2 linked regions of the Lepisosteus oculatus genome follow. Each later gene encodes a partner of the first gene's protein in a complex. Links are inferred from orthologs where the notes say so. Each region holds a gene or a part of one and is shown on either strand. Other genes may lie near its edges.

Evidence for each region. Proteins that work in one complex are often made in the same cells at the same time.
Region 2: actin-related protein 2-B (region 1) and arpc1b share a complex: the UniProt entries of both Homo sapiens proteins name them as parts of the arp2/3 complex. The link is inferred for Lepisosteus oculatus from reciprocal best matches to the Homo sapiens genes ACTR2 and ARPC1B.

The regions. Positions count from the first base shown.
Region 1 is NC_090712.1:9,087,810-9,098,317, forward strand, and holds the start of actin-related protein 2-B, read right to left. Parts: upstream 5,020-10,508; 5' UTR 4,930-5,019; coding exon 4,882-4,929; intron 948-4,881; coding exon 837-947; intron 1-836. Other genes in the region: N(4)-(Beta-N-acetylglucosaminyl)-L-asparaginase, read left to right, coding at 6,085-6,193, 7,346-7,484, 8,218-8,374, 9,827-9,872. UniProt on the Homo sapiens protein: ATP-binding component of the Arp2/3 complex, a multiprotein complex that mediates actin polymerization upon stimulation by nucleation-promoting factor (NPF).
Region 2 is NC_090714.1:10,176,348-10,187,122, forward strand, and holds the start of arpc1b (actin-related protein 2/3 complex subunit 1B), read right to left. Parts: upstream 4,416-10,775; 5' UTR 4,275-4,415; intron 3,236-4,274; 5' UTR 3,225-3,235; coding exon 3,161-3,224; intron 650-3,160; coding exon 545-649; intron 1-544. Other genes in the region: arpc1a (actin-related protein 2/3 complex subunit 1A), read right to left, coding at 6,566-6,604, 7,039-7,129, 7,545-7,738, 8,152-8,227, 9,059-9,271, 9,502-9,609, 10,185-10,413. UniProt on the Homo sapiens protein: Component of the Arp2/3 complex, a multiprotein complex that mediates actin polymerization upon stimulation by nucleation-promoting factor (NPF).

The DNA of each region.
Region 1 (10,508 bases):
ATATCATTTTCAAGTTCTTTGCTCCTTCATAAGCACAATGCCACGTAAATAAATTGCAATACTGGGTACTCCCCTCAAAATAAAATCAGTCCCAAAATGCAGAATGCTGATAACTTTCAAATGAATGCCAACCAAGGTTTGCGACACTATTAGAGAGCATCACGTTCAACAGCTGTAACTTAATATTGGATCGATTACATGACAGTGGACCTCATCAAACCCTTTAAAACCTTAAATAAAAGTTTCCACGAAAAGGGAAATGCAGAAAAGAAAGGTCTTCTAAGTACACACAGCAGGTGGTTGTCTTACTTTTATATCTACATAAATAGGTTTATTCCATGCTGAAAAGAGAAGAAAGAAAACAACGTTTCAGCCGTGGAGCCTTCTTCAGGTGAGCCTACGCATGCCGACACATCTACCCACCTGGCTCACACCCGAAGAAGCCGCCACGGCCGAAACGTTGTTTTCTTTCTTCTCTTTTCAGCATGGAATAAACCTATTACTTGTTCCTTTGCAGCCTACACATGCTGACGCAGCTGCCCACCTGAACTATCTCCATAAATATACAAGCATGGATTTCAGGCCTTCATTTTGAATACTAGAGCTATTTTGTCATAGTCAAAGGCTTCCGAGCTGCTGCAAAATGCAGCAACTCTGTCGCAAATTTCCACTTCCACACCCGTTCTTGGTAAATGGATCAGCAAGGTCATATATTCACAATGACAGCAAACATCTTAAATAGTGGAAGAAAAAAAGGAGAAACAAACAATTAAATGCAGAACCTCAAGTCTGGCAGATGTTTTCTTGACACGAGCTGAGCAGAGAGAGAGCTTTACCTTGATCTCGATGTTTCCCACTTTGGTGGTCGATCGGATGATGGGCCTGCCGACCAGCGCGGGGAAGATGTGCTCCGGAAAGTTGGAACCAGCATAGCCACACTTGACAAACTGGCCAAGAATGAGAGAAGAGGACACGGTTTTTCAGAGGAATGGAATACATTTGGAACGCTGCCGGCTTCTAGAAGAGCTCAGTGGACAGCAAAGCTGTCGTCTTTCACATTAGCCACATGTTGTCACAGAAGGTCAGGGATTCTATTAGGAATGTGTTGCAATCCTTTGGGAAAAACTGTTTTATTGAAATTCCTGGAGTTACCACTACACATAAGTTCATCTTCTCTTTGTGCAAATGCATATAAATGTAAAGACATCCATTAGAGATGCTGTATGTATAAATAGGACATACAAGAAACTGAGAACATAAATTAAATATATTCTGAAAACCTCTCACAATGAAAGCTTAAAGGGGAACTGCAATGCAATTTTTATATTTCGGGGTTAAAAAAGAATCAGCATTGATGAGTGCATTCCACACCACAATAAAAGTCAAATGTGCACAGTATTTTGTAAATTGGAGGTTTTACATCACAAAATACACGAAATTTCCAAGTCTGCACAGCAGCATGTTCTTTGATTCAGAACGAGGCAACAAAACCTCCGGTGATGGGAGCGGCCTTATTACTTTGAAAACAAGCAGGCTGGTGAACACATCTCTTTTAATCCAAAAGAAATACTGCTCTCGACTTCCAAGATGGTTTTGTCGATAAATGGAACTTACTTGTTAACTGTACATGTAAATCATGTTGGAGACATTCTGTGGTGAAATATCTAATGCACAACCTGGACTTAGTTGCTTGTACATCACATTACATAGCTATTATGGTGACTAGTGTGCAGGAAGGGTGGTTTCACATCACAATTCGCGCAAACTCTCATGGATGCGAGATGTAAACAGCTAGTGCAAGGCAGACTCCCTCTGTGCTGGAGAGCCAGGATCCAGCACACTTTACGAATCACCTTTAAATCATCAATTTCTAAATGACTGGAACAATTTCATTTTGACCACTTAAGCAGGGGACTGGGTCAATTTAGCAGTGTAGAAATAATTACAACACTCTGTGGCTCCCAAGGATCACAGTTGTCTGTTCCTGATTTACCAGAAGTAAACCGATCGAGTTCTTCTCTTCCAAGTCTTTAGAAACCGATGATTGAAGGCAAACCTACAAGACCTACTGGATTCTCTCGCTCTCAAGGACCAGGGCTATCCCCATACAGGCATGTGGAACAGGACACTAAAATAGCTAACTACTGTAGGTATTTCCACAGCATTGCAAAACTGACCATGTTCACCGAAAAGTACTGTCTAGCTGCTACACTAAGGAAAGAATGCAGATGACCTGTCGCAACAGGCATGCCCACAGCCACACAAGCACTGAAGGCTAAAATCAGCAGTCACCGTGAGCTTAATCTCTGCAACTTTCTTCTAGACAGACCTACTCAGAGTCTCGTGTCCAAGCAGAGTGACCAATCCATTCTCTCCGATAATCCGACTCTTGTTGTACAAACAATCTAGGTCTAGGTTAAATGATTTTTTTCAAGGGACACCTCCCCAGTAGTCCAGCTGGGTGAGACCAAGCTAGTGAGGGTTACGAATCAAGCCCCAGGGTCACAAAACAAGCATGTCACAGAGCTGGAATTCAAGTCTTTTGTAACCCACTGTCCAGACGCCTACCTCCAAAAGTGCACACAATACTTAAGCCTGTGATAAAACAGCCAATATGCAAGGTGCTAGAATAGTTTGTAAGACATACAAAAACATTTCAACTAAAACTATAATAAGCATTCATACAGAAATAGATTTGATTTGTTGTATAAAACAGTTAAAGTTCTTTGGGCTGTGAATGTGGTTTCAGTGCTGATCTCACTTCCCTTTGAGTCATCAGTCAAGCAGTGCACAACTAGCACTTTTCTGCAACGCACATTAACCAACATCCTTCAAAGTGCTCTGTTAAGTTTCCCTCCCTGTGCAGTCCAGCCGGCAAGTTAATGTGCACTAGTTCAGAAAAAAACGAAACGCACGTTTCTACTGCCAAATCTCCAAGCTGAAAAAAAGAACCCACCCACTGCTCTTATCGCTAATGGGCAGAGATATCTGGACTGCTCGGTCTCTAAACGATTTATGCAATCAGCTCATTGTACCTGAGCTGATTTAAAAAGGAAACAAATGTTGTTCTTTTCAGGTTGAAATTTTATAAGCGTCCTCAGCTCGCTGGCAACCTGTTCTAAAATCTGTTCTTAAACAACAGTTGTAGAGTGCAACTACTTAATTATCTTTACACAAATTAATCACCACTGACCAAATTATTAAAACGGTGTAACACCACAATCAAAAGCCTAAGGCAATACATTTCTGTACGTGTTCAAACATTACTCACAGTATCTCCGCATTAAATATGCAGCAGTGCATGTTTTTATAGGGATCTCACCGTGGCGAATAAATACATCTAACTACACCTAATACATTTCATCTGAACTGCCACTTCCACAGGTATGCTTCAGAAGCAGTGCTCTGTAGTCTTCACACGCTGCAATGATGAAGAAAGCTAAAAAATACCTCCTGTGGCGCTGGTAAACTAATATTTGACAGAAAAGGGACACGCTGCTATGAGCTTTCTTTTTTGATGGACGGAGAATGGAGTGCACTGTGAAAAAAAAATACATAACCTCCAGTGTCCCAGAAAAAGGACAGGATGTCCATCTGACTGGTGCTTTATTTAGTCAGAACGAATTTACTTATTTATGAAAGGACTGTAAGTCTGTTTGCAATATGTTCCTCACTTACAATCTGCTGTGAACTTGGAACCCAAATACTTCATTTTATTTAAGCCGCTTTTCCGCAGTGAGTTTCATACATCAAGGAGTATCAATAAGACACCAAGACAGATGGACGGACTGAAGTCATTCTTAGTAAATCGGCAGGTTCTTAAAGTGATTTTTCTTAACGTTGTTCTTTACAATTGTTTTTCTTGGTTTGTCATTTCGCAAAGAAAGTAAATTCAGAAGCGCTTTGGGAACTAACGCGAAGAATGTGTTTGCATGTACAGACTTGAACAAACAGACGAACTGTGGCAACACACAGTACGGCAACATGGCTGCTGTATGGAGGAAATATCAATCTTTTAATCGCGGAACGCGTCACCTGTTTCACAAATGATCGGAATTTACAAATAAAGGGGCTAAAATGAGAGTTGTCCGAGCAGGGCTTTCTAATCCCGAAAACCTTCCAAGCGAAGCGCCGCGACAGATAGCCCTGCGTGATCTGACATCCTGTCGAGCTCTGTAAAACCGCAAGCAGGGGCTGTACCAGTGATAACTGTATAAGGACATTTCAAACTACAGAGGCAGAGTGCTGGTGCATTTTCAACACCGCTGTGCAACCGCTTCCAGTTTCTGTCGCCCTCGCAAACAATACTGCCCCAATTCATTGATAAAACGGCACAATCCGTAGCTTCGACTTAGAAACTTTTTTTTTGTTACCAGAACAATGCGATTCACCTACGGGGCACTTAAATATACCGTGATGGCACCGATGTACTGATGGTTCGTCATACATATGATAGGGGAGAGGAGAGAAACATCTAATGATTTCACCGGGGACATGCGAGCTCCGTTTCTTCCCCTTACGGACTAAATTCCAGCAATTATCCCCTGTGTTGGCCCTTGGTGGCAAGCGATGACTACATCCATACAAAATGCACAATGCCAACACAGTCTACCCACTACTGCAGAACGTGGCTCAACAAGGGATCTTAGCGTTGAATCTAAAACGTATATACCTTGTGAGCACCAGATTAAGCATCAGTCCCTTTGAAGAAAGCGGAATTGACAAGCTGACAGACTCACATTCCTTTGCCTACCCACCCAGTCAGCTAACCTCTTTACTTCCTGTTTCAGGCGATTCTATTTTCCATAGCCACAATCAGCCATAGAAGAATCGGGCAGAAGCACAAATCACCGAAAGTAAGAAATCTGTCATCAGACCTACCCCGGTTCCATTGTCACAAACCACCACTTTCCTTCCCTGACCGTCCATTTTTCAGAATCCAGGAACCTGCAGACCTCTCCTGCTCAACTTTCTTCAGCAAGCCGGAAATCACCACCCCGGCTCCCGGAAAGGGTTTCTTCCGGTAAGTCTGCCATGTGACCCGAGCTTCCACGTTAGAGCCCGCCCGTCTAAAAAATGGACGTGACGTTATCCAATCACAATGGAGAAAATTGCGGCAGCTGTGGCAGCTCATCCTGGTACCTGAACTGACGAGTTATTGACATGGCGTTGCAGCCAATCAGATCTTTAGGCTCTACGTTACAGTTGAAGATAAGTATTCTTTTCAATGAGCCAGCGAAGACCTTGTCGGTTCCGAGGGAAAAAAGGGTGTGTGTTGTTTTGTTTGATACAGGAAGAGAATGAAAATGTTAAAATGTTTATAAATGTACTTCTGGTATTGTCACATACAAATTACCATTTGCTATAGACATGAGGGATGATAATGCTACAAAACTAATACGACATTTTGTATTAGGCAATAAGAACAACAATAACAATAATAACCAATATACTGAATGGTGCTATAGTAAAACACTAATCTTAATACAATGTGTCGAAAATACAATGTTAACATAGTTTTAATGTTCTACGGTAATCTTATGAGATTTACTGACCGATTTCAATAGTATTTAACAAAAAATGCAAAACATGTAAAAGCTTGCAAAGGTAACACAAGAAAAAAACTCTCAGTGTGGGCTTTACTTCTAAATTGAAAATGAAACCAGGAAAACAAGTAGTAGTCGGACTAGAAAAAAATACTATTAATCCTCAATATGAACCTGTTGTTCCTGTCTTCTCAAAGTATACAACTATAAATACCACCCCTGGACTTCAGACAGGTGCTGAGTAGGTACAGTCTGTGAGGCCTTGTGCAAGATAAAACACTGTTGACTAGCAAAGTGACAAATGTCGTGACTGTGTATGAAGATGAATCACTTATCGGCCTGTATCTGTGTATGAAAATGAAGCAATTAAAGGAATACTGATTTTTCCACTCCATTGAAGGTTGTTTCTGTAAATTGCCTCATTTTGTAGAATAAGCCACTCCTTAGTCTCCTGGAGGTGTTTACTAAAATTGTCTGTTCAGCAGGTGACCCAAAATCAGTACCTGCTACATGAGTATCACCAGAGATCTCTGGAGGAATGGCTGCTGTAGGTACCTGGTCATTTTCACTGCCCGCTGTAGAGAAAATGAGGTATTTAATTGTACAAGGACAGCACTCCACTGATTGTGTGGAACAGGCTATGGCAGGTAAGTGACACTCAGGACTCAACACTACAACATCTTGCCTAACACTCGGCTCTACATTGAGGTGATATAAAGGAAATAAAACATCACACAAGCCTCCACACAATACACAGTACCAATGCATTTCACTTAAATCATTACAAAGATCGGTTTTAAACACGTGAGGAGACTTATCCAAATGTAACTGATCTTATTAAAAGGTCAGTTTTCTGCTGCTATGGGTGTCCATTGCAAAATGTGACCAATATAAACATTAGGGCTAGATTTGATCTATTCCTTTGTTTTACCAGCTATGTCAATTAAGATCAAATTCAAATTATTTTCACTGATGGCCTGGGGCTCCATGTATGAGTGGGAGGAATGTAGGCATGTAAAAAGAGTAAGTACCCGGTTGAAGAGTACAACAGCAGCATTTACCTGGGATTCGAGCACCCGATCCTTGTGGTCCAGAGAGACAACCACTGTTCCACTCTGTATTTCGAAGGATTGTAAAGATTTGTAGGCACACTCGGATAATGTCACATCAGCGGCTCGTTTTATCTTTGGGACAGCCATGGGAATTTGTGCCTGTTTGCAGATTGCATGGCAATCTATGGTTTTCTGCAGTTGTAGTTTTTATTTTTCTAGAATAGATACTTAAAATAGTTTATTGAGTATTAATGACCAAAAAAAAACTAAATGAGATTAAGATCATATTAATCAGAACTAATAGGGATAATCACATCAGGGTTACCTGAATGATAACTAATAAGAAGTCCTTACACTTATATAGTATATTATATACGCTCATCACATACCAGCTATCAGTGGGGAGGAGAACAGAGTGGTAAAGCCAGTTCATAGATGGGTATTTTTTAGTGACCACAGAAAATCAGGGCCTCGGTTTTACATCTCATTCTAAGGATGGCACCTATTGAACAGTATAGTGTTCCCGTCACCATACTGGGGCATTAGGACCCACTCAGACCGCAGGGTGAGCGCCCCCTACTGGCTCCACTGACCCCACTTCCAGCGGCGACCTCAGTTGTCCCAGATAGGTCTCCCATCCAGGTGCTGGACAGGCCGGGTACTGGCTTCAGTGTGTTGTCAGTTGTGAGCTGCACAATGATATAGCTGCTGAAGAGCTCTGCTCACTGGAGCTCTGCGTGTTTCTAGATATTGAGAATGACAGGGAGACGGGCCGGTTCGTCGTGGGCAGAGGGGGCTACCCCAACAGCGAGGGGCTGGTTGAGTGTGACGCTGCGCTCATGGAGGGGATCGCGGGCCGCTTTGGTGCAGTGGCAGCCCTTCAGGGGTAAGACAAGTATACACCCTTTACATCGAATTGTTCCTTTTTACTTGCTCTCCTTTTTGGCAACCTTGATACTTTAATCCACAAAGCCAAGAGCGGTGACTCCTAGCCAGCTTCACTGCTACATTTGAAGTGCTGAAACCTTGCAGCCGATGAGTGCGACTGTTCTGGTGAGAGGCTGATTAAGTATCCTGTGCACCGCCTGTCTTTTTCCTTTTGTGCTTTTATTTTCGGCATGTCATGGAATCTGTCTCTTTGCCTCTGTGCTAGACGACAAATAAGTGTTTTCAGAGAGAAAATTGCAAGGTGTCAGCCATAGTCACTGGCTTTAACAGGACACGCTTTAAATAATGAAGTACTGTGTCCCCCAGCTTCCAAGCAGGAGGCTGATCAGGAGACTGATGCATTTCTAAACACCGGCCCAATGGCGCCCTCTAGTGTCGATCCACGTCGCTACAGTCTTTTCTCTACTGCTGTGGAGACTTTAGCCAGGTGGCAGTAAAAGTCCATTTATGTGAGCTCAATAAGACAAAATATTTGATTATTTTTAAAAGCGCTCCCTCAGCTGTTCAGTTTTAGCGTTTTAAAGTGTTGTATGTCTGAAGAACATGTCACAAATGTTTCTCTACTGTACTGTGTTCCTCCCGGTTAGCATCCCGTTCCTTCGCAATCCGGTGGATTGTTGTGCCCCCTATGTCTGTGCCCCTGACGCGTGTGTGTGGTGTGTGTGTGACAGTGTGGGGACTCCAGTCAGAGTGGCCCGCAGAGTCATGGAGCAGAGCTGTCACAGCCTGTTGGTCGGGGAAGGAGCCCTGGCGTTTGCCCTGGAGCAGGGTTTCACCGTGGAGGACAATGAGAGCATGCTGGCTCCAGAGACAGCCAGGGCCTATCAGGTAACATTCACCTCCAGCTGCTGAATTATAGATCATCAGGGGCAGCCTATGTGGGTCTCTTGTTATTCAAAACTGCACGGTAATATCCATTCGATATGTATTCATATTTACATATTAATACCTGTACACGGGCATTATTAATGTTCACACACTGCATTCCAGCACAAGTGATCCTGTTTACTAATGTATTAATCCTGACATCTGTCAAACCAGAATGTACAACATTTTGTGTTTTACTCTGTCTTGTAAAATGAAGTGATTTCTGTGTTTTGAGACTAAGAGAAAGAGGCAATTTGGGCAAACTGTCCAGATGTTTATTGAATAAATACAATTACAGTATGTACCAAAAGTTCATAGTGTAGTCACACTATGTTTAATGCACTGACAAATAAAAACCCCAAAGAAGAGGCAGGTATACAAAGAAAAAGAGAAATCATGTTTTTGTACTTTGTGAACTAACAAAATAACACTTTTTAAAACAAAACATTCATCTGTGTTATTTAATTTTTGAGACATCTATATTTGTAAACTAGAAACCAATGTAATTGTAGAGCACAGGAAAATGTTTTATTACAATTTATAATAAAATATTTATATGTATAAGTATAGAATTAATATTGTTTTATTTTGAACAATGTTTTATCTTTCTGATTTCAAGGATTTTTGTTCACAAAGACCACTCATGTCAAGAGTGGCTCAAGTAGCAGTACTGAAATACTGCAGTCTGACGTGAGAAAATACAGAAAATGTCAGCTGGAAACATTAAGAAAGCCATTGAAATCAATTTTGAGAGCATGGAGAGATCTAAGATCTCAAAGTGTCTGGCAATGAGTGCTTTGCAATGGCTTCTGTAGCTCTTCAAACCCAAACACTCTCTGGTCTTTTCTGGTGGAATAGAAGGACGACAATGGATATGTTATGTCCAGATAGTTTTGTCTAAAAGTATAAAAGTTTTCATAAAAACATTTGGTGGGCAATACTGGATCTTGACTAAGCAGAAATAAAGGAGAATTTGCAAAAAAAGGGTGTGAAATTCCACAGACAGCTACTTACAGTAGTTCCTCTTAAAGGAAAGGGTCTAGAATTGTCTGGTCTTGGAGTAATTCATCTCATTCTCGCCAGCCTGGAGAATACTTTCGAGATTTTCAGTACCTCTGATTAAAAGCTGTACAGTAATTAAGAACTCCTAATGAAATTACACGGTCAGGTGACAGGATTCTACAAGAAGTAATTGCTTTTGTATTTGCTTCAGATTAATTAGGAAAGCATCAGTTTCCTTCAGTCTTAATGCCTGGTTTGAAACAGTTGGTTTTAAAAGTAAGCTACCAGTGTAATCCATATACTGTAGGTAGGACAATTCCAACTATTGTTATAAATTACACAAATATGCTGAAGTTATATATTTTTAAATATTTTAACAAAATTATGTTTATCCTTTCTATTATATCTAAGGATTTTTTAGAAAAGAAGAAAAGTTTGTCTGGACACGACACATTGGGTAAGGATTCAACATGAACCAATAAAAAGTCCTGGTCTTCCAATGAACAGAAAATGCACAACTTGAACCAGAAGATGGACTATAGTTTCCAAAGCTTCTCCATCCAAGATCAAACTCAGATCCTCGATGGACTAGTATCGTCCCGGTTTCTGGTACTTGATGTAATAATTTAACTGCATCGATGTAATACTTCTAACCTGGCTATAAGGTATTGTGTACAGTTGTATGCAAAAGTAGGCACCCCTGGTCAAATTGCATGTTTCACTGTTTTATTTTTTTTTTCAGTCTGTTAAATTCAGGAAATAAATAGCAACTGTACGTTAAACTGTGCAGAAATGTGTCATGTTAAAGTTTGTACCCTGCACAGGTTGTGTTAACTTCTTTTCACTCAGAGATTCTCTGAAACATGCAATTTGACCAGGGGTGCCCAAACGTTTAAATCGATTGTGTAAACATATATGATATATTGGCATATAAAAATAAATCCTTTATATGACTTAGAAAATAATTAGGTTAATTGTTTTGACGGTTGAGGTTTTAATAAAATTAGAAGACACTGCGTTCTGCAGGAATTCCAGGAAAAGGATTTTGAGACCTCTATCTAGAGGAGAGAAATACATGTCAGAAAGTTAGGGT
Region 2 (10,775 bases), on another chromosome or scaffold:
CAATAGCATGACTCACCAGATACTTGTATCAACTTATTTTTTTATTTATTTTTCTTTTGACAGCATCTCATCAGGAAGACAAGTTGTTATTTTATTAATAAATGTTTCTCTAGCAACCTGTCAATGTTTGCTTAACACACGTAGAAAGGCTGTATTGTGTTCATTTTGTAGCTAGCTGTTTTGCAAACCCATATATAGCCTAATTGCACCTTCTTAGAGCTCTTAAAGAAACATTTCTGAGAAAATTGAACTGTCTCTGCTGTGTCTTCTGGTTCATGCTGCCAGATCTTTTGTACCTTTTCCTTAGAAATACATTGTGTCATATTTATGTTAATTAGATTCATATTGATTTCTGAAAATGTTTTAGAAATGTTAATGGTTTCAACTCAATAACACAGACCAATGTCAGGTCGTACTAGCGAAGTGAAAAACTGTAAGCTAACGTTTCATTTCAGCTGCTGCATAGCTCAGTACTACAAGCTGCTTAGTTTTAAAGACACTGAGACAACAGCTGGAAATACATGCTCACTCTTTGTTTCCTCACCTGTCACTTGGCCATTGTGCTCCTTCAGCTCGTGGATCTTGGTCCATTTGGTTCCTTCCTTCTTGTAGATATAGACATCATGGTTGTTGGGACATAATGCAATTTCTGAAAGATAGGTTTATGAAAAGCAAATTAATATTATTATACTGTATGTAGACAACTGAAGAAGGCTCCACAGCCGAAATGTTGTGTCTCTTTTCTTCTCTTTTCAGCATGGAATAAAACTTTACTTGTTCCTTTGCAGCCTACACATGCTGACACAGCTAACTACTTATATTATTATATATACTGTAACTTAATATAAAGTCCAGTGGATATTACAAGCTGCCTCTGTTATAAATGCTCTCTGGACTGCTCTAAGCAGCATTGCTGACTTGTAGGCTGATTCCATCAAATGTCAGTACTCTGATGGGAGACCTCCATGGAAAACCAGGGTGCAGCTACAAGGAGTACTGTGGTGGACGAGTAGGTGACACTCTTCCATTTGGTTCTCAAACCAGTACCCCAGTATGGCAACCAGGATTTCGACTACTTGATCATTAAAAATCCTGTAATGTAAAGTGTTCCCTTTTTGGTGAAACAGTTTCTCACTTCTCTTCCTTATCTGCTGTGTAGTGGGATGGCTGACATAATGTAATAGTGGCTGCTATGCATCACACAGATTTCACTGTTGGATGAAGTGGGTTCCTCCTAATATGTGAATAACTTTGATGCCTTTTAGGATGAAACATTCTAGATAAATAGATATGCCAGCTTCAATATTCACAATATTGTTCAACTTCTCCAAATAATAAAAATTACATATCAGTTGTGAAGGGTGTGAAAAAATTAAAATCCACAGAATACGGTGCACATAGATGGATACTGTTCTTTTTTACCAAAGCTTTCTTAATAGATGCTGGCAAATGACAATGACCTTGGTTCTCATGCTGTGTGCACAAAAAATTTACAGCAAACTGACTGTTCCCTAGTTTGTCAAGGACAGAAAAATATCAGCCATGTCCTCTACAGGTAGATTTGCGAATGTGGTGTAAAAAAATAGCTCAAGCTGAAATAATTTGCATAGGATGTTCTCACAATATCAATATAGGCTTCTCTGGCTGTGTCAAACCACTTCCTAAAACACAAATACATTTGTGCTGATGAATGGCTTTCATAAAAACATTAATATTTAACTTGAATTCAAGTCCCAACACCCCCTCTTTTTATAGGAGAGGATTGTTTCCACTACTAAAACAGACAGCCAGCAATTCACGGTAGAGTTGGGTTATTTCTCTGTTCTGCTGTGGTCTGCTTTAGGCACATCCAATCATCAACAACGAACCATTCATGGTAAAACAGGAAGTCTGGGTGGAATTAGTCACTGCTGTTTCTCTCATCAGACGGAGAGAAAATATGAGACGGGTGTATAACTACAAACACACCATACTGTTCAACTGCATTTACACATATACATACAATAACCACAAATGACTATACATGGCTTTTTCCTGTAAATTATCTTTGAACAAAGAAGTATTTTTCTAGATTGTGTCTGAACACATGAGTGTGGACTTTTTCGTTCTACTTTTTTTGTGATCAACATCCTTCAGCTCTAACTGTGGCAGTTTCCTAAAAGTGGTATTTATCCCAAATAGAACTCTTGAAGTCTCAGCGTCAGTTTCGAATACATTTTCTGGAATCTTTGGCTACTCGGCCAGTTTGCATTTAGGAAGCTCCTTCGCAAAATGGAACTTTGGAATGGAATTTTATTTTAAATAATCCCCCTGTCTGTCCAGCCCGGGTTAAGTTAATCTAGATGTTGTTTGTGGTGCAGAAGTAAGGCTTTGCAGTTTACAGACTAACTGGGTGGATCCCGTCTTGAAAAACAACCGCTGGGAGAAGCAAAGGCAGCTGTTTAATACCACATGTCTTGCCAGATATCAGCATATACATTCATAAGCAGAAATCTAATCAACATGGTCCTGTAAGTGAATATCAAAGAGGCAGATGCATGCACGCAAATTGTGAACAAATACCACTCCCAAGCAAACCCATTAAAACGGGATAGGGCTTCTGTTTAAAGCATTTTTAGCCCCTGTAGTATATATTTTCCACCCTTGTAATTACAAGTTTGGAAACTATGTGAAAGAGTAGCTTCAATAATAGTAGCTTCAGTTGTAGTTCTTCTGGTGTTGTGCAGCAAAATTGGTTCAGGTTGGCTTTTAGGTTTTTTCCACTTAAATTCAATGTTTTTGTTTCATTTCCCTTTATCCTTTTTAGATTAAAACTTTTAGGAAATATTTATTTCTGCAAAACCTCTATACACATCATATGCATTCTGAATCTACAGGAGAGAGCATGTTCTGAGAAAGTAAAATTAGTATCATAAGGAAATCTAGGGAAATTCAGTAAATGCTGACTGCCAGTTTCTACTTGCTCTTCCAAAGGAAATACCTCCAACAACCTGGCTATTGGCCAGTGGCTATATTTAACTTCAGAACCATATATCTGGAGAACTTAATATGAGGTGTAGTAAGTGAGCTGATTTGGGGACGTTGTGAATAAATTCTGCTGTGAATACAAATTCTGTTACTCTTTTGCACCAACCCAAAACAAATGCAAATGTATACTCACGACTCCTGTCTTTATTCCAGGCATGGCAGCTGATGGGTTCCAGGAGAAAACTGTGGTAAGACATGGCTTATGACACTGAAAAATAAATATGTCGTATGAGGTTAACTGCTCTCTGTATTCAAACGCCATAACCCATATGTTATATTAGTGATAAATTAATTCGAACATTTGATTTTTCTACAGTGATGTTGTGTAATAACTATGCAGTATTGCTAATCTAGTATAATTTGAAATATTGGCATTGGCAAAAAGAAGACTCTGTTCAATGGCTATGCACAGGTTAAAAGTTGTTTAAAAATAGCAGAAATGCATATCCACATATGAAAAAAATGCAGTTGCAGTGTGCACACTAAAACTGTGTCTTTGTCAGAGCACTTCCGCACCCAACCGCAAAAGGAGAAGTTGTAAATGCAGAAGCTGCATCTCAATAATTTGTTTGACATAGTGAGCTTTATGCATGAAGGTAACAGGCTGAAAACTCCATGAATGCCCTAATTACAAGGCAGCTCTGTTCAGATCTACTTTCTGTGGTCTCTAGGGTAATTAAATGCAGGCCAGCCTGGAACGTGACCTGCTAGCGGGAAATGTTTGATGTCTTCAAAACATCCCCACATTACAAGTCCAAAAATAACAAGTTATTTATGGAAAATATATCAAATTATGTTTTTACTATGCATGAATTCTGTGTACCAGGCTTGTGTGAATATTAGCTGTTGCAAGCTCCACTCTTTGGACAGCAGTGGTCTCAATTCTCTGTCGTATAACTACCATCCACTAGCCCAGTTCCCGTGCTGGAACAGGATAAATCTTTGAATGGATTTAAAAAAAAATCTTTCAATTTTGAAAGACTCCCAAAGTTGAAACCATTTTACTTTAGAAAAAAAAAATATATTGACAGCAAAGAAAAGAACCCTGTGTTTTTTAATAGGGCTTTAACTGTCATTTTACATCACTAAAACAACTATACCTAAACCTGTAAAAGTCATAAAAGTGGAAAAAGTTCAAATAACACTTTAACTGACATTAGCAGTTCTGAGGTGCATGAAATACTGGACTTTTGCTATTTTTGCAACAGATTAAAAATTCAGAAGAAAGCAGTGGTATGTTTACTTACCGGTACCTCTTGAACTAAAAAGTTGAAGGAGATGAAAATTGGTCAAAATGTAAAACAAGCAGCCTCAGTTCATGGACTCTGAGCAGTCAACACGAACGCTGGCTCTGAATGAGCTGAAGAAAACTTATTTCTCTGAAAACTGTTACACTTCCCTTTTCCTGCTTCAAAAGTGTAACCACTTCCTTGTGTGGGCGGCTTTCAGCTAGCGAGCAGGACCCAAGCTTTAACGGCACATACCGGCTTGTCAGCAGATATGTAACCCCTGCCCTTCTTCTCCATTATTCACCAAGACCCTTTCATCTCAAAATTGTCTGGTCTAACTTGGCTTCCAGGACTAAAACCGTAATGCTAAAATTCATCTGAAAGTCATTAGGAAAATGTGGGTGGGGCTTTACAATAAGAAATGTGCAGAAGTATACCCTACATATGGAAACTAAAGCGATTTAAAAGTTGTAAGCACAATTTTGTGAAAATTACAGAAAAGTCAAATTTCTCTGCCCTTTCCCTCACCAAGTAGAGGTTAACAACTGGACTATGGCAAAATAAATATGCATTTTCATTACTTTATGAATTTTTAACAGTTTTGAGGACAAGTAATCAGAAATACATACAGAAACACAAACAATGTGCTAGCTGTATCCATCTAAACTATCTCCTACACAGTGCGGATGTGACTCACTATAAATATACAGTAACCATTTAAATCTTAGTACTACAATTAATAAACTATTATATGCTGAAGTGTAACACTAACATTAATAGAAATATGTACTTTAAATATCCACTAGAGATACATTCATGTGGTCTTGGCTCATTTTTTGTTCAAGAGTATTTGCATATGCACATGCAGTTCAGGTTTCACAGGTTTGTAAAAGCATGTCCTGTCTCGTTTTCACTAGTTCACTATCCAGTCTGTCTTTGTGACATAAGCTGTTTGCATTCAGTTGGTGTTCAGAGTAAAGGGAAGATGTCTTGAATGGACAGATGGAGCACTGTTAGAACATGAACCCTGAAAGCTGACGTGCACGACATGACTATCCAGAGAGGGAGCAAACTGAAATTTGATCCAGATCCTATATGGATAGGTAATGCCTTTTGCGTTTTTATCACATGGAAAATATCACATCACTTTCAATAACCACTTATCCATTTCATGGTCAAGGTGACCCAGAACCAAATGGAGAAAATATACTACACAAATTAAAACTGCTGTTAAAAAAAATCACTTTTTGAACATTTCAGGCACAAAATGCATACTCGCATTAAAAAATTAAAGAAAGCTTTGTGCAGAAAAATGAAAATTTTAATTACATCTAAAGAAAAAAAATTAAATCTTCAAATCTTAATTTGAAGTTACCGACTTGATATTTAATTTTTTATGCATTATACACCCTCAACAATAAACCGAAAAGGTTTAATTAAAAAACAACAATTCTTAAACTCAATGCAGATACAGTACTTGCATAATTCTTTACAATGTGATGATCAACGATTTTCAAATGCTGCCCCCATGCTTACCAACTCAAATTTATGTCCAACCATAATGCCATACACTAGTCTACTGCATTCACCATAATAAACCAGAGTGCTGAAAAATTCTGCGGAGCTGCACTCTATAGAGGTGGTGATACTACAAAACATTTCAAGTACACAAGCAGCACAAATTCTTCAGCATAACATAGAATAGAAGAGTTACAAAATATTCTTGGCCACCCTGGCCCATTTGGCAACCTTGTAGCTAATTGATTTAAGATTTTAAAGAAGCTAAACCTACATGGTAGATTGTTGCATACTCCTACAACCCTTTGTGTAAAAAGTGGTTTCTGTTCTCAGTTTTAAAGGTTTTCTCAGCTTCCACTTCTGACTTCTGCTAATCTTCCCTGCTAATGTTTAGTAATATAAGAAATAAAGGATTCATGTAAACATCAAATAAAAACACTTATTCAGGGTGAGTAGTGTATGTTTTTTATTACAAGTAGAACTCTTACATGAAATCCCCCTTTAATGTTCCAAAATGTGTCCAGAGGAGCTCATTTCAAATGACTTACTATCAAACTGCTGGGTAGCAGCTTTGGTATCAAGAATCAAGAAAATCACAGCTAAAGTAATAACCAAAGATTCCAAACCCATTTCCTCTTTATTTCTTTTTTTAAATAAACAATGATGTCAGTTTTTCCTGTCTTTCAGTGCTTTTTGATGAATCTTTTGAAAGGGTTGTCAGAAGACACCTTGTTAGTCATCAAACTGCATGGCTTGCGAGTTGCTTCATGCCAGTTAACTTGCGCTTTCCCTTACATGATCCGCAGGCCTTGGATAGAAGACTCTAGTGTCTGTGGGAGAGGGAGAGTGGAATTGCACGGTTAAAACGTGAATGCTTATTGCTAGATAGCTAGATAAAACCTTCATACTGCAGTCTCAGCGCACCCAGGGCTAGGATGTACCACACTCACAATCTAGTGAAAAAGACAAGTCTTTTACAGAGTACTGTACAATAAATACAAATACAATACCACCTTATGAGAGTTTTCATATGGTCGTGCTTAAATAACAATCAATAGATAAAATAAATGCATTAAGTAAAATTGTTAAAATTACAGATCACAATTAAGCTAAAAATAATGCATACCTCATCAGTTACTGCTTAGCTGTCAATGGTAAGAAAGACTACAAATGATAGTACTAGTTGTACTGATATTTTAACTTCAGTTTTTATTTAAATACTTAACTACTGTGCCAAGAGTTTTAGACAATCTAATGCGAGTACCTTAAAGTCCCATATGGTCATTGCTCCATCAATTCCTGTAGTGCAGAATTTACGACAATCTCTTTTGTCTCCTTCATATATAGACACTTGGCTGTAAAAAAGACACCCCATTTTTGTGGACTTGATTCTTGGTTAATATTATTCTACCTCATCCCAGTTCAACCTATGCAATCATGACATACTGTTGTACAGTTGTAAACAACTTCTAGCCCTATCATTGTGAGAGTACATCTTAAAAAAAGCAATCCTATAGTCTTATTGTTGTGAATCGGGGTACCTTAACTGTTTTCTTATACAATGTAAATACACTAATATATTACTAATATTTAGTTTCGTGTTTATGGTTTACCTTAACTTACACGATATATAACCATCACACTATGCAACAGCTATGTTAAAAAGTTTTTGGATGCATATGTGCACAGCACATCTTCTGCAATGAACAAGTTCTTCATTTGGACTATTGTGCAGACACACTAGGCAAATCTCTACAATGACTCCCTTACGTGATGCTGTTTTGGTGCAGCGTCTCCAGAGTAGCGTTGCGGTCCTCGGTTGTGGCTCTCTTGTCCATGTTGCGGAAGCGTTCCATGGCAGAGATGTTGCGCTGGATGCTTTGCTTTGGAATGTCTAACTTGGAGATGAAGGTCAGAGACCCACGGTCATCACAGTTAAACAGCATTGGGCAGCAATCATGACCCTAGCACAAAGAATGCACATTTTGTTATACGGGGAAACGGCAGCATCATGTTTGGATTTTGTTTGTAGAACCATAATTAAATTGAAATATGTTCAGGGGAAATGCCCTTTAAATTTTAACACTACTTTGGATCACGAGGAGGTCTGTAAGTTGTCCTGATATTCTCATTTGAATAAGGAAAAACTATGTGTTCCTTTCATAGATCTGAAGAATAGTCAAAAAGCCACTGGTCATAATCAAAGCATGCATCCCTTATTTCTCCCCATTTGTCAGCAAATCCTTTTTTAAACTCAATGAAAGAAATGCAAAAGGCTGCATATTAACTAAATGCTTCAACCTAGATCTAATTCAATACAAATTAAGCAATATCATTGATACTTTGGAACATAAATGTTGCTGTACTATTGTCTTACCGCTGCAACAACACTGTTCTCCGATACAAATATCACACTCAGAAGAGGAAGGAATTCTGTCTTGAGCTGGGCACACCTAGAATTATAAAAGCATTAAATTAATCCATTATTCGATCAGATTCAAGCTTCAGACAAAATGCACCAGTGCACTGTACTTAGCTAACAATTATAGAAAAAAGATACTCTGCATAGTTTTAAACAAGCTTTGTAGGAACTCAGTGGAAATGAGAGTGACCCAAAGTCCAACCTAATTACTAAAACAAAGTAAGTGAGTTATAAACAAACCTATTAACAGAGTTTTTTTCTAAAGTAATAATTGTCAATTATTTCTGTTACACTTAGCTATTCCAAATCGGGCACATATGTATTTTCCCATGTTTCAGATCACGGATATAAATCATACACAAAGAGAATGAGGAAGTGCAGGCAGAGTGCTCAAACCCGCCCACTGTTCTGCATGTGTTTTAACAAGGGAGACTCAGTGCTGATTGGAGGAGAGGCATGTCCCTAACTGACAGTATCACAAACCTCAAAGAGGGCTAAGAGAGCCCTGCCTGACAAATTAGATGAATTGGAAATGGCCATTTGGGGTATCATGGTCACAGTTGGCTAATGACATGACTCAGGCTAGCACCAATGACCACAAAGCTGAGTCTGTGCTCAGTGAGCACGTTTTTTAGTTGAGCCACTCAGGAGGCTCCACACTTAACTTGATTTTCAACCAGTTTGCTTCACCTGCTTCACGACCCTTCAGAATGAGAAAGAGAAAGTTGCATATGATCTGAAAAAGAGCCATTTTGGTATTTCAAACATGTACTGCAGGCTGCACCCAAAACAGATCTACTTCCTGGATACAATGATCTACTTTCTTTCCATGCACATCTAAATAACTTAAAATTCTACTTACATCATGCTTTTGGAAGCGTCTACAACGGACACCGTGCTGTCGTGACTGACCCAGGCTAGGCGGTTCCCGCTGGCAGAGAAGCAAACACTGTGAACCCATCCTCCACTCCCGACACCCCCAAACTCTGCCATCACCTGTCCAAAAGGCATCTTGGAACCCCAGGGAGTGGGTGCTGGTTTCTCTTCTACTTCCTTGATGTATGCAGAGAATACTCTTAAAGGAGGGAAAAAAGGTACATGATTTTGTGTGCATGCCAATTATAAAATATAAAGGTAACAATGCTTTTCAGCTAAATACTGAATAAGATGTCATGCATACCCCAATTACTCACTTAGCTTCACTTATCTTAAAGCTTCCACTTTGCAAATTAACACTGCTTTTCACCACATAGTTAGATTGCACCTGACTGTTCCAAATATGGTCAAACCATCAAATGTGCTCACCTGCATTTGAAATCACAGGATCCAGCAGCTAAGAGGACATTGTTAGGATGCCAATCTAAGCTCAGGACTGTAGAGCGAATGGGCTTCTTGATGTGTTTACTAACCCACCTAAAAAAAGATAATAGATATACCTTTAAGAAGAATGATTTATTCTGTGCACTTTAAGATTAAATTTGTTCATGTTATGTAAAGAACATAGGTAGATTTACTCTTGAATTTCATTAAATAAACATGTATATTACCTTTACTTAATTATTTTAATTTATTTTATGCCCAATTTAATTAGTGCACTGAAGTTCAGATTTGCTTCTGCTCTCTACACTACAGAAAATGCTAGTTAAATTAAGGGAAGAGAAAATCTATATTGTACAACCAAATGCTTAAGCTACTGCTAAGAGTAAACTGGCAGATTAGAACCAACACTCAGATCTGATTGTGATTTCTTCGGAGCAACAGTCTATCGACATCCTGGAAACTTTTTTTTTTACAGTAATCTGGTAGTTTCTAAGAGGCAACCTGACCGTGATCTACAGATTCAGAGGGTAACTTTCATTACCACACAGATACAGCATGACACCTCTGAATTTATGGATCAATCAGCAAAATTGTGAAAGTCCAAAATAAAGAACTGGGCAGCATCTAATCAGGGAAAGCTGACATTCATCCACTCCAGTGAGGTTTACCAATCGTTTTCAGACTCAAAGTAGCACACGGAGATGAGCCGAGCTCCACTGCCCACGGCAAACTTGTTCTCCAGCGGTGACCACTTCACAAACGTGGCTGCTCGGTTAATCCTCAGAATCACCAGTGTCGGTTTCCACACTCCGTCCCCATCCTTCTGACTCCAGACATAGGCATTGCGGTCTGCACCACACGTAACAATACGATCGCTCTTAGGGGCCCAGTCAATTCCTGCACAGAGAGAAGAGCATAAAAATGTAATTTGTACAGCTGCATTCAGTTTAATTTTCCAGTGTCCGATATGTAATAAGTTCTAATTCTTTCCTCTTAAAAAGAAAAGAAAAATCTCTCATGGGTGACTGATGTAAAAACCAAACTTCCTGTTTAACTACCAAATATTCTCACCTTTTCTACGAATTAAAAGACTATTAATGCAAGATGGCATTTCCTATCCTCTGTGGAGATCAAGGCTCTAGCCATGAAATGCTTTACTTAAATCCTGTGCAAATAAGAACCACTAAGCACCAATGGTGATTAACCAGATATATTTTAGTAATTCAGAAAGCAGTGAAAACATAATAGACTGGCTGCAA